Linked DNA regions of Astyanax mexicanus. The protein of the gene in region 2 interacts with the protein of the main gene of each other region in a pairwise test. Links are inferred from orthologs where the notes say so. Each region holds a gene or a part of one and is shown on either strand. Other genes may lie near its edges.

Region 1 (7,129 bases), on a different chromosome or scaffold from region 2:
AAGGTTAAGGTAAAGCAGAGTTTGATTGCACCATCTGTTGTTGGCTCCACGGAAAATGACCCGGGAGAATCCTACAACTGTAAGAAAAGCATAAAATATTTAAACTGGACTTTGCTAAAACGCATATTGGCAAGTAGCAATGCTTCTGGAAGAACATCCTTTACACAGATGAGACAAAAGTCATATCAGGTCTGCACTGACATTCCAAAATTACGACTAACAGTATGAACAACTGATTATGACATTATTTATCTTAGGGAATGGCCTGGAAACATTTATAACTTTATACGCTGTGAGCTGTTATCTTGTGAATGAGGCTGAAGACCAGTGGCCAGTGTGCTCATGGCAAGACTACAAGAATTATTATTTAAGTTTGAGTAAGGTCTGATAGTGGGTGCCAGTTAGATTTGATTTCATTACATTTTATTCCAAGATTTGTAGATATTTTTGGATATCATACATGTCAATGCAGCATACTTCAGCTTCCATGGAACATGGAACAATACCAGATGCTGTCTCATGACATGTGGCATGTTAGTGTATATTTATGTTCTTTAAAAGTGTTAAGAGGGTTATTGAGAGGGACATTTACCCTCATGTTGCAGTATTTACTAATCTATTACTCACTACTCATCTCATTAACTTGCTCCAGACAGTATTGATGGCCATAGAGTGAAATGTAATTAAATGAAGTGCAAAGAGACACTCATCTCATGAGTTGTTTCAGTAGGTGAAGTTTTTTTTTGAGGGGGGGGGGGGGGGGGGTGTGTCTTAAGTTTGGTCACTGCCACAATTATGAATAAAACTTACACCTTGGTTCTCATTGGCTCCTGATACCAACCATTTGCATACTGGACATACCACCCCCTCTGATTCATACCAGTGTATAGTCATCCCCACAGGCCACCTTCCCTATGTCTAGCTGCCTCATTTCAGTGCTAAAAACTGTAAAAGAAGGTTAATCCTTTTTTCTGCTGCTAAGTGAGGCTTTATGTTGGCTTGAGGCCAACAGTGACCATTCATGCACTACTACAGAATTAAGCCATTCGAAACACTGGCATCTGTTAATGTCACAGTCATTTAAATTCTAAGAACCTAGCTGTCCCTTATTCAGAGTTTAAAGTGAAACAATCTATTCCTTAGTGTGATGTTGAGTAATGTCATCATACATAAATGGGTTGTTTAGAATGTCTTAACAGTATGTTTCATTTAAAATTATTTTGTTGTTTGAAAGAGTAATTGTGAGTAGACTATACTAACTCAGAAGTTGCTTAAACCTTATAAAAAAGTGTTGGTTAGTACAACCTACAGTAACTATATGACTTTACTTACTCTTTTTTGGTACACTGTAAAACTCTAGTCTTTTACAACACAATAAAACTCAGAAACATATTTTTACAAATGTTCTTTTTTTTCTCACTCAACCTAAAACATATTGTTGCTCAGACTATAGTTAAGGTTTTTTGCTTAGTCAATGTGATTAAAACAGACATTAAAACTTTAAAAAATTAAGAGACCAGTTTCTAAATCAGTTTCTCGGATTTTGCTATTTATAGGTATATGTTTGAGTAAAATGAACATTTTTGTTTTATTCTATAAACTACGGACAGCATTTTCACAAATTCCAAATAAAAATATTGTAATTTAGACAATTTCTCATTTTAGACATTTCTAATTTTCTGCATTTATTAACAGAAAATAGAAATGGCTAAAATAACAAAAAAATGCGGAGCTTTCAGAACTCAAATAATGCAAAGAAAACAAGTACATATTCATACTCATTAAGAGTCCAGAAATCAATATTTGGTGCAATAACTCTGGTTTTTAATTACAGTTTTCATGCATCTTGGCATATTCTCCTCCACCAGTCTTACACATTGATTTTGAATAACTTTATGCCACTCCTGGTGCAAAAAGTTCAAGCAGTTCGGCTTGATTTGATGACTTGTGATCATCCATATTCCTCTTGATTATATTCCAGAGGTTTTCAATTTGGTAAAATCAAAGAAACTCATAGTTTTTAAGTGGTCTCTTATTTTCTTCCAGAGCTATATGATAGATTAAAGGATACAACATTATATTCTATACTCTATAATTTTTATATTCTGTATTCTATACTCTGTTCTGGATATAGAGTTTAGAGATTAGATTCAGTTTGGGATCAACAGGTTGGCCTGGTCTGACTTCCCTACACTGCACTGTATACACACAGGTGACTGTACACGTGTTTTGTAGGCTATATCTATTAGGCAGCTCTTAAAGCAGCTGTTGACAGACAGCACTGTGTAAAGTGTGAGAGGGCAGAAGTTAGATTAGTGAGCTCAGTCTCAGGCCTGACAGTCCTCGGCGTGGGAGTTTAACCCGGCTCCTGTTTCAGCGCCTGTTCTCGGGCCTGTGTTGGGAGTAAGAGGGGAGGGGAGGTGTAAGAGAACACTAGACTGAACTACACTCGGAGGGCCCTGTCCGGACCCCGGCTCTGTACTCCCCGGGACTGTTCAGCTGTAGTAAATACCGGGCTTACCTGCGTAGTGGTCGAACACGGTCGGCACGTACTCCTCGGGGAAAGCGTCGTTCGCGTAACTCATCAGTAAACACGTCTTGCCCACCGCTCCGTCCCCGACCACCACACACTTCAACATCTTCTTAGTCGCCGCCGCGGCGTCTCCGCCTTCCCCCACCGTCTCCACCGCCGCCGCCGCTCCGCCGGGGCTTTTCCGCCTCCCGCGCGCAGGCATGGCGCTCCGCCTAGGGGACAACGGCTACAGTAATTTCTCACCGGGACGCTCTCGCGCGCGCTTCCGTAGCTCGCGCCCTCCTCCTGTCGCCTCCTGTTTCAAACCCGCTCGCTTCTTCTCCTCCTCGCGCTCTCAGCTCCCGTACCTCCGGCCAGCAGCGCCGTCGCTCGCACGCGCGTTCACACAAACCGGCAGCCACGCTCTCCGCTCTCATCCCGCGTCCTCGCGCGCGCTCTCCTCACGCGGCGCTCCCGCGGCTCTCCGCGCGCCATGGCCGAGTTCAGGAAATCAGAGAGCTCCGCTGCTGCTGGCCAAGTCCATATTAGGCAGCGGTGGGCTGGAAACAATGGGGGCTCTGTCCCACTCAGCGAGGGGGAATCCAGAGAGAGAGAGAGAGAGAGAAGGGGGGGTGGAGGAGGAGTAATCCAGCAGTTGGAGCACTTCACTCCTCAGCACTCCACCACTGCGCACTGCTGTCATTCATCCCCTCATCCCTCCATACTCTCCAATTTCTGTTAATCTACACCACCAATAATTACCTGTTGAAGATAATGAATGAATTAAAAAAAAAAATGAATTTGCCTATACGACTCCAGTTCATCCTTCCACGAATAAGTATTTCGTTTATTTACTGGTGCACTCCTTCATATACTCAGTGTTTGATCGATTGATTGATTAATTCATGCTTTATTCATTAGCGTATTTATCCTTTAAACTTTCATTAATCCAAGCATTACTTAACTTCTTTGCTAAACTGTTTTTTGTCCATCCATCCATCCATCAATCCGTCCATCCATCCATCCATCCATCCATCCGTTCATCCATCCGTTCATCCATCCATCCATCCATCCATCCATCTATTCCTCCAATCCCACCACCAATGGCTGATGTTTTTATTAATCTATCCTTTAAATTGGCAATGATTTCATCCACTCACTATCATTTACTAAATGATAAGTGTATTGATTCTCCAATGTACCCACCATATTTATAATTGACTTAAGCATTCATTATTTTAATCTCAATTGAGCCATTTATTAATTCACTGATTAAATGATTATTTGTATTTGTTCTCCAATCCAGATATTCATTCATTCATTCATTCATTCATTCATTCATTCATTCATTCATTCATTATGAAATCACTTTTTTAGCTGCCAATTATCAATTCCACCCCTCTCCGTTCATTGATTAATTGATTGAATAACTAATTTGTCAATTCATCCAACCATCAAATTTTCCTTTAATAATTTATCTTACTGTTTAGTCCATGCGTTCCATCCATCCATCCATCCATCCATCCATCCATCCATCCATCCATCCATCCATCCATCCATCCATCCATCCATCCATCCATCCAAGTTGCTCATCATTACAGCCAGATACTTTTCGTCAGTTAATTAGGATATGCCTATAATGTTTCTCTATCCGTTTGTCAATTACTTCACCATTATTATAACCCTTATAATCAGCCTATTTAAACTACAAATAGTTACAACCAATAAATAAAAAAAAATGTTAACTGTGATACGTGACAGCTTTGCCCCATCATCCCGTATTGGTGGTGAATATTTAACTTAATAACAGATTTCTATTTAAACATTTACTGAAATTTAAAGGTCTATTTCTCCAGGGGATATGCAATTAGAAAAAAAGAAGAAAAAAAAAACTCACAATAATCAGCCTAAATGTTTTTTTTTTTTTTTAAAGAGACACTGAGGTTAATCAGGCGCGTGCATTTCCGTTATATGCTTAGATGCTGCACGACAGCTCCCATCTGTTGCCTGTGTAGCGTGTCCGCGGAGCGCGCAGTGCGCACGCGCGTTCCTCGCACACGAGGTGGCGGTAGTGGTGGTGGAGGTGGTGGGGGGGCTGGGGGCGGGTGTGTGCGTGTGTGTGAGAGAGTGTGTGAGCGCGCAGCTCGCGGAGCCGGCGGAGCTCCGGGGCCACAGTGGAGCTGGGCGAGGCGCGCGGGCAGGGCGCAGCGTTACCATGAGCGAGTCCACCACGCGCGCACACACACGCACACTCACGCACGCACGCTGCACGTTCGCTATCAGCTTCGGCCAGGTGTGCGCGCTCAGCTTGGGCCACAGACGCTCGCGGCGGAGCGCAGGATGCACGGCGGAAAGAGAGGCCTGGTGGCACCGCAGAACACCTTTCTGGAGAACATCGTGCGGCGCTCGAGCGGTAAGAGCGCGCGTTGTTTTTTAGTGGAGGGGAATTGGAGTCGGGGCTCCGCGTGCGTAAATGTGGAGAGGTGGGTGACGGACGGCACGCGCCGTGTTTGCCCAGAACTCCCGCTATCTGCAACAGAGCATTGGAGCATCTCCGCTGCTTGTGGGGAACTTTTCTGTGCACATGCTTCCATGTGAGAGCACTGATCTCAGCGCACTTCAGTACTTTACAGGCTGCTGATGTTCTTACAGTAAGAGTTCTGCTCTCAGCGCTGCGTGTTATCCGCTCATTAGGTCCACTGCAGCATCACTCTGCGGAGTGTGTGTGTGTGTGTGTGTGTGAGAGAGAGAGATGAAGTGGGCTGATATTTAAGGGTTTATTAGTCTGCTGAGTCGTTTAATCTAACAGCTGTAATTGAGAGATCCTGGTGAAAGTAAGCTAGCTGTGATACACTACTGGTTTTAATGCGCTGTTCTTCAGCACTGCAACTGTGGAACATCCTGCACGAGAGAGAGTCTGATCACAGAACTTCATCAGCTCCGGATGCCTCACATCTTGTAGAGCTGCCTGATCGTCTCAGTCCCCGTTTGAAGATTTTGCGATTTATTATAGTGTTATTACAGTTTAATAGCAGTTTAGTCTGATAAAACAAAAGATGACGATTTGTATAATGAGTTTCTTCTTCTTCTTCTTCTTCTTCTTCTTTTTCTTCTTCTTACTATTATTGTCGTTGTTGTTATTAGTATAATTAGTATTATTAGTACTGCTATAATTACTAATACACAGTCCGTTTGCCAGTTTGTTAAATTAACCCTATTAACGCTTAATTAACATTTTAAATAGTGAAATTTGCATTGTTCATTTAACACTAAGATTGATGTTGATTATGTATTGTTTATGCTGTTGTTTTTGTTCCTTTTACTATTGGTAGTATTACTAGTACTGTGGTGGTTGTTATTACTTTTATCATAAACAGTGTTATTTGCTGTTGCTGCTGTTGTTTATACAGTAAAATTACTGTCATCGTTACTGACCTAAATAGTTGCAGAAGTTTCATAACAATTACTGTAACCCTAAACCTAGCATATACTAATACAAAAGCAATAATAATTATATTTCTTCTTCTTCTTCTTCTTATTATTATTCTTATTATTAACATAGTTAGTGTTATTAGTACTGTGGTTGTTTTTATTTTTATGATAATTAGTGTTATTAGTATTGATGTTGCTGCTGTTGTTTATACAGTAAAATTACTGTTATCATTACTAAGTAGTGTTACTTGCATGACACCATTTTTCTTCTTCTTCTTCTTCTTCTTCTTCTTCTTCTTCTTCTTTTTCTTCTTCCTGTTCTTCTTATTATTATTGTTTTAGCAGACTTAAGGACAATATGTTCTCAAGGGGAACACATCGAATAATGAAAATGGAAATGCTGCCTCTTTAGCTGTTTTGTTCGGGGAGAAATAGACAGGTGCTTGATGGAAATTACTGTGGTGCTTCTCAGCAATTCCAACATATCAAACAGCTATAGATAATGCACATCTCTGTCTGTCTGTCTGTCTCTCTCTCTCTGTGTCTTTCTATCTCTTTCTTAAAAGTGTTGTTGTAAAAAGTCCTAAAGTACTTACAGATACAGTAATATGGCATGGCGCTCCGGCTGCGCTGCCACACACTCACTACTGTAAAGTCATCCGTCAGTGCTGGAGTGTGTGCGTGGTTGTGCTCACTTAGTGCCGATCACCAGCAGAGGTCACACACGGTTACAGGAACAAAAGTGATGCTCTTTTCCCTCTTCATTATTCCCTTTCACACGCAGGCTCTTTGCAAAGAGGCTTGTGTGTAAAGCACAATCTAGCCGATTCCATGGCTTGAGTTTTCCATGAGTTTTCTTTCTGGTGAAAGGAGTAGTTGCGGTTAAATGATTGAGTAGTCCTGTTTTTAAATATAACCGTTTAATTTGGTAAATAACTCTTGAAGAACTCCTTTTATAATTGCTTCATTGCTCTTCTCACACCCTTTACACATGAAGCTTGTTTTCTTGGCATGATCGTAGGAGGAACAGTGTAACAGTGCAGATATCTGTGAAATGTGGAGGCTTAAATGCTGTATGCTCATTGACTCTTTCCACACTGTCAGTTCTGCATAATGACTCTACATATTTCACTGTTCCCAACACTACACGTGTTTATTTAAGCATTTTGTTGCAGAGCTTAAAAT
Region 2 (7,031 bases):
CCTGCACCACTGCCGTGGCGTATGTGAGCGCGAGCGCCACGGGCGGGGGCTGCGAGACCCCCGCGTCTCCCAGCAACTTGAGCTCGTGCGTGCACGCGCACAGCTGCAGCGTGGAGATGAGCTCGGCCGCGTACGCGCCGGTACCTGCCCCGGCCCCGAACAGTAGCCTCGCGCTCGCGCGCCTCGCCAGCTCGCACGCGAGGACGATTCCCGCGAGCACGAGCAGAGAAACCGCGAGGTCCGCCATGGGGAGGTCCGGTGGGGCGTGCGTGGCCTGATTCACGCCTGATTCCCGTTAATCCTCCATCTCTCCTCCGGAGAACCGGCTAAACACAGGCTAACGGCTTTAGCCTATTATTTTGCGCCCGTATCCCGATAAACCACGCCCCCCCCTGTTTTGGGATTTGTCAGTCTCTATCCACACTTAAATACTGTCCGATGATTGGACATCATCACCACTAGTTTTCATCACCACAGTAACCAGAATGCAGTGCAGCATCACCTGCTAATGCTATTAATGCTGTCCATGCACTATTTGCAAGACTGCAACTAGATTCTTTTTGAGATTAATTCCTATCATGCTTCTGGTGGAGTTTACATAAAATACATATAACATATTAAATATCATAGACTTACAACGTTTGTCAGATTGTGAGGTCGGAACTAACTTGTATAATTTGTGTGGGGAAAAGAAGCTTATAGTCAGAGTTGAACACAATATAGACAGAAATAGACCTGACAAGACAAGACAACCATATATAGCTCTGTGATAAAATAAGAGATCACTTCAGTTTCTGAATCAGTTTCTCTGATTTTGCTATTTATAGGTATATGCTTCAGTAAAATGAACATTGTTGGTTTATTCTATAAACTACTTGACAACATTTCTCCCAAATTCCAAATAAAATTGGTCTATTTAGAGCATTTGTGTGCAGAAAATGAGAAATGGCTGAAATAACACAAAAAATGCAGAGCTTTCAGACCTTAAAAATGCAAAGAAAACAAGTTCATATTCATAAAGTTTTAAGTATTCAGAAATCAATATTTGGTGTAATACCCCTGGTTTACAATCACAGTTTTCATGCATTGGCATGTTCTCCTCCACCAGTCTTACACACTGCTTTTGGATAACTTTATGCATTTACCCCTGGTACAAAGATTCAAGCAGTTCAGCTTGATTTGATGGCTTGTGATTAACCATCTTTCTCTTGATTATATTCCAGAGGTTTTCAGTTTGGTAAAATCAAAGAAACTCATATTTTTAAGTGGTCCCTATTTTTTCCCTACAGCTTTATATATAATTTTAGAAATGGTGAGAAAATGATTGAAATATTCAAATACGTCTCTTCCCTAATATCATAAAATCATTCAAGGATATCAAGGAAAGGTGACATCCTTGTCTTGCAGTGTCTTTTTCTCCAACAAGACAATATCAATACTGCAGCTGGCCTGAAGGTGATGCCAGAACACTGTGTAACAGTCTAACAGCGTTATTTCCATTAACAGGCAGAAATGGCAGTCTGTGTCCAGCTCATTCAGCTTGCAGTAATTCTCAAGGGAAATCAATAATGTCAGCATCGCAGCCTTACATTTACGATCAACAATAAATCACAGACCAGTATCTACACGATAACGTTTGGACTTGCATTATTTATAACGTTTAGATGATTATAGCAAGGTAAATGTCTAGTAAGCTGACCAAAAATCACTTTTTAATTTCCTAGTGTAATATGTGATACTACATATGTAATATATATTAAAAAAATATATATATATAATTGGTTAAAGTGCTTTGACCAACAGAGAACGTTATAAGAATGTTTAGCAGCATTTTGAAGATGTTCCTTCCCGGAACATCTTCAAAATGCTGCTAAACATTCTTATACAGGTTAGCCTGTAATTTTATATAAATAATGTTCCAGGAACGTTCTGAAAAGAGTGACATAATAAATGTTTGTTATTAGAACCTTTCTCACGTAACGTTCCCAGCCAGACGAATACTAACGTTATGGAAACGTTAAACGTTAAAACAATTCCAAAGCTAAAAATTAAAACACTGATACAATTGACGTTGCAGCGACGTTACCAGAACGTTTAAAAACGTGAATTGTAACCCTTAGAAATTGTTCTACTGAGAGAACATAAATAATGTTTCAAGAACGTTTTAAAAAAGTGTGACATAATAAATGTTTGTAACACAACGTTATTAGAACGTTTCTCACGTAATATTCCGGCTAGACGAATATTAACATTATGGAAACTTTAAAAGTAACAATTTCAAAACTAAAAATTACATTGCAGCAAATGGCAGCAAAAGTGCCATTGCAGCAACGTTACCAAAACATTTTAAAACGGTAATTGTAACCCTGAGATTTTTTTCTACTGAGAGTTTTGACTACAATTAGCATTTTAAAAATATGTTTTAATATTTTGTTCATGCCATAGAACTCTAATGTTCAGTGACGATTAAATAACATATATAAAACAGTTTAAAATAATATCTTGCAAAAAATATTGACACAAAAAAAAAACAAATAAACCCATAGATTTTAATAAAATTTATTATTCCTGGACGGTGCTTATCAGCACTTCTTACAGGAAATTGAGTAGAACACGTCACCGTTGGTCAGCTCTGCCTGGCAGTAGTATTAGAATAGGGTTCATGAATATTTAAAGAGGCCCCGCCCTCGCTGTGCCCATATTCCATGAAAGCCCCGCCCACACCGGCCTAAGGGGACAGACAGGCGTCCACCTCCCACCTCTATTCCGACAAACCCCGCCCCCTCTGCTGCTATTGGCTAGTAGTTAGGTCATACTCTCTCCGCCGGGTGGACGGTGAGGAGGGTAGAACTGATGGGATTGGTTGATATATATGCAATGAATGTAGTACATTTTGTAGTTTTTAGTTAGAGGTTTTTATTTGAGCATTTTTTTTGCCTTTTGTCCCTTAAATCAGGATAGAAAATAAACGCTAAACTCCAGCTTGTCTATTTCACTGAAATTTTGTTTTACTGAACAAAACAATACATTCACAAGCAGCAGTCCCAATATTATATACAGGTGCTTCTCAAAAAAATTAATTGTATTATTGAAAAGTAATTTTATTTCAGTAATTCAGTTTAAAATGTGAAACACATATATTATATAGATGTATTACACACAGTGTGATCTATTTATTTTATTGTTGATGATTATGGATCACAGCCAATTAAAAACAAAAATCAATGTCTCAAAAAAAATAAATATAATATATAAGACCAATTGGTACCTTTGTCAGTGTGGGCAGTGTGCCAAGTCCTGCTGGAAAATGAAATCTGCATCTCCATAAAAGTTGTCAGCAGAGGGAAGCATGAAGTGGTAAGATTTTGCGGGAAAATACTGTACTGACTTTGGACCAAAACCAGCGGATGACATGACTCTGGGAAACGTTGGCATCAAAATTGTTAGAAAACGTTTTACTAACTAAAATTGTTCACTGGAAAAGTAAAGATTAGTAAAGAGTTTAGAAGAGTAAAGACTCTATTCAATAGAATATTGTATTTTTATTTGCCAATTTGCCAATTTGTCCACTTCTTTTTTATTTTATTTTTGAGATTTTTGAACTACTGATAACTTAAGGCCCTTCTGATTGAGAAAAAACAGTGAAATTTAGAAATTCTATTTTATTTTCATTTTCGTAAAATATATACTGTTTGTGTCACATCACGACCAGTTCTGTGGATTTCGTTAAACTACGTCTACTTAACAACCGGTAAAATGTGCACAGTCTTTGTTTTTTTTATTAAATACAATATAAAACGTTTACTTTTATAAAAACATTGAATAGTTGTATAATTAGAAATGTATACATTAAAAATGTATACTGCAGCGATAATATCCTAACCGTCCAATTACAATGCTCGCCTCCTGATCATGCAGACCAATCAGAGCGCAGGAAAGGCGGGGCACTTCGAATACGGGTGGGATGCGTAAAAATGGCACTGACGCTGACGGACCGAATTTGGAAGCGACCACTAGCAGAGCGCAGGGTGGGCGGGGCTCAATGCAGCAGGGTTGTGTGTGTGAGAGTGTGTGTGTATGTGTGTGTGTGCGCGTGCATGTCACACAATAGCGAGGATCCGGCAAGTTTAAGGTGAATGAGAGGGGCAGTGCACGCGGAGAGAGGAGGTAGAGAGAAGGAGAGAGGAGGTGGAGAACAAGAAGAAAACCGGATTGGGATTTATAATTCGGATCAGCTCCGGTTTCAGAGGTGAGTTTTGTTGGGGAGGGATTGGCACGCGTGGGTACGCACTCAGGCCGGGTACCCCTCTATCTGTCTAGGTATCTATCTATTTATCTGTCTGTCCATCTGTATGTCTATCTATCTGTCTACCAGTGCCCAGACTGGAGGGAGCGTGGTGTTAGGTGGTAGGCATTGGTAGACAGACTGGTAGACATACAGACAGATAGACAGACAGCAGGTCCTGCTATCTGCTGCTGGGTCTGAGCTGTAGGTGTGTGTGTGTGTGTGTGTGTGTGTGTATGGTACAAGAGTTGGCCTCATGTTCTCCAGTTCTTTTCCATTCCACCTTAAAATTCCACCTTAAAAGGTGCAGTCCATACACATACTGGAGAGTCTGAGGCTTCTACTGCTGGGTCTTAGCTGTAGGTGTGTGTGTGTGTATGGTACTAGAGTTGACCTCATGTTCTCCAGCTTCTTAGTTACTGGGATTTTCCATTCCACCTTTCCGCCCATACACATATACTGGAGTGCCTGAGGCATGATGAGACTGGAAAATCCTAATAAGATGCATAAAATTGAATCCTCTGACTTATTATAAGCCATGGGAATGAATAATTTGTATATTAATAATAATTTGATATTAATATGATATATATATATGCTGTGTGTGGACAAGCGTTGTCCTGCTGAAAAGAAATGTTTCATTACCTGAAAGATGAAACCCGCTCCATGACAGGCAAGACATGTGGCTGCTGAGCTGTTATTGTCTCTCGTATCACTACTATGGGTGAACAACTATAGTATGTGTATATGTATAATTTATTTTATTTTATTTAGAAGATGTATTAATTTTATTATAAACAAAATAAGCCTTGTATTCTTTACAATTTGTTAAATAAACTAAACCTTTTGACTAACAGGAGTATGTGTGGTTGGGGAACCAGGAGGGCATGGGGGCCTCGTTATTCTATGTTACGGGCTGACCTAGACCAGGTCGTAACAATATATATATATATATATATATATATATATATATATATATATATATAAATATAACACTTCATTCTAGATCCGGACTATTGCTGATAATTATCTGTCATTTAGAATAAAATAATCTCTGATAATCTGTGAGTACATTTAGCATGTGTTCATTTATGTCTTTTGCTAGTTGTAAAAGTAAAGTTAAAGAACTTCAGTGTATTGTTGGAAGATTTCTGAATGTTTATTTTAATAAATGTTTTATTTGAATTTCCTTTGGTACAAGTTGCTCAATTTGATCCACATTTGAATTCCCCTCCATGATGCTTTCATCTAGTAGACTGGAAGAGGTGATGAAGAAATGATCTGTTTATTTCATAGTTGATGCTGTTTTCATGAAGAACACACTTTTAAATGACCTAACCAATAGATACTGAGCTGTTTGCATTATGCATTTGAAGAAACAGTGAACTGACTAACCTACAAGACTTTAAACACTTAAATTTCATTACAGCATCACAGAAAAACATGGGTATCTGATATGATGCATGAAATGCTTCAGGTTGTTGTTGCAAAATTACAATACTACACACTACTCATGATGTGACACTCTATTGTGATACAGTACAATACATTACATTACAATACAACACAATCTGATACACTGCAGTTACACGCCTGAGTCTCAACCATGCATGAAATTGAATCTGGGTCTCTGCAGAGATGATCCAAACTGATCTTTTTACTCCCTCACTGATCTACTAGAGTGTGTGTGTGTGTGTGTGTGTTAGAGGTGTCACAATACAGTGAAAAAAAGTTTCTACAATAATATTAAATGTGACAGTAGTGGAAAACAGGCATTTGACTTAAATTGCTGATCACAGCGCACTACACCCACTAAAACACCGGTTTTGCCCTTTATGAAAATTGACCAATAAAATGCTCCTGAAAAAACTGGAATACAATCTTTTTACATTGACTTCCAGTGAAATCATAAACTGATCTACAGAAAGTATTATTATTAATTGCTTTCTGCCTCAAGATATCTGGAAAATACTGTTTCCAGAACTTCTTCTTTCTGAATATTATTATTATTATTATTATTATTATAAGAATTTCATTCTGATTTGAAACAATTCTTAAGATCTCTTTATATGAGAGTGATTTTGTGCATCAGGACATCATGAATGTGTTTTGTACAGCCCATATACCTATTCTTCTTTCTATTCTGTGTAAAAAGAGGTATGATTTATATAGTTTTTAATATTATTATTATTATTATTATTATTATTATTATTATATTTTTTCATTCCTCCACTTTCTCCCCAATTTACACAGACAATTACCCAACCCACTCATTAGGACTCCCCCTATCACTAATGATGCCCCAACACACCAGGAGGGTGAAGACTAACACACGCCTCCTCTGATACATGTGAAGTCAGACTCCACCTCTTTTTGAACTGCTGCTGATGCAGCATTGCTGAGTTGCATCACAGCGCAGGAAAGCGCAGCGACTTGGTTCTGAGCCCACAAGAGGTACAATATGTCCCCATTATCTAAATTTGTATACAAACTATTTAAAAAATATATATATATAATAATTAATAGGGGTGGGACAAAATATCAGTATCACAATATTGTTTAGCTGTAGTTTGTGATATATTATTGATACGTGGCGTCAAATATCAATATATTTATTAAAGCACAGGTGCTCTAGACTTTCTATGTCTTGCCTTGATATATCGAGTATTATAATAATGTTATTGTTATAGTGGGCAATTTAATGTGTTATATTATGTCCTGGGATGCCCTGTGATTCCCACCCCAA

What was found.
Region 1: the proteins of pak1 (region 2) and rhoj interact in binary tests that used the Homo sapiens proteins (3 or more experiments, as listed by UniProt). The link is inferred for Astyanax mexicanus from reciprocal best matches to the Homo sapiens genes PAK1 and RHOJ.

Annotation. Positions count from the first base shown.
Region 1 is NC_064408.1:70,190,357-70,197,485, forward strand, and holds the start of rhoj (rho-related GTP-binding protein RhoJ), read right to left. Parts: upstream 3,081-7,129; 5' UTR 2,736-3,080; coding exon 2,522-2,735; intron 1-2,521. Other genes in the region: kcnh5a (potassium voltage-gated channel subfamily H member 5a), read left to right, coding at 4,853-4,925.
Region 2 is NC_064416.1:5,300,701-5,307,731, reverse strand, and holds the start of pak1 (serine/threonine-protein kinase PAK 1), read left to right. Parts: upstream 1-4,025; 5' UTR 4,026-4,249; intron 4,250-7,031. Other genes in the region: aqp11 (aquaporin-11), read right to left, coding at 1-247. UniProt on the Homo sapiens protein: Protein kinase involved in intracellular signaling pathways downstream of integrins and receptor-type kinases that plays an important role in cytoskeleton dynamics, in cell adhesion, migration, proliferation, apoptosis, mitosis, and in vesicle-mediated transport processes.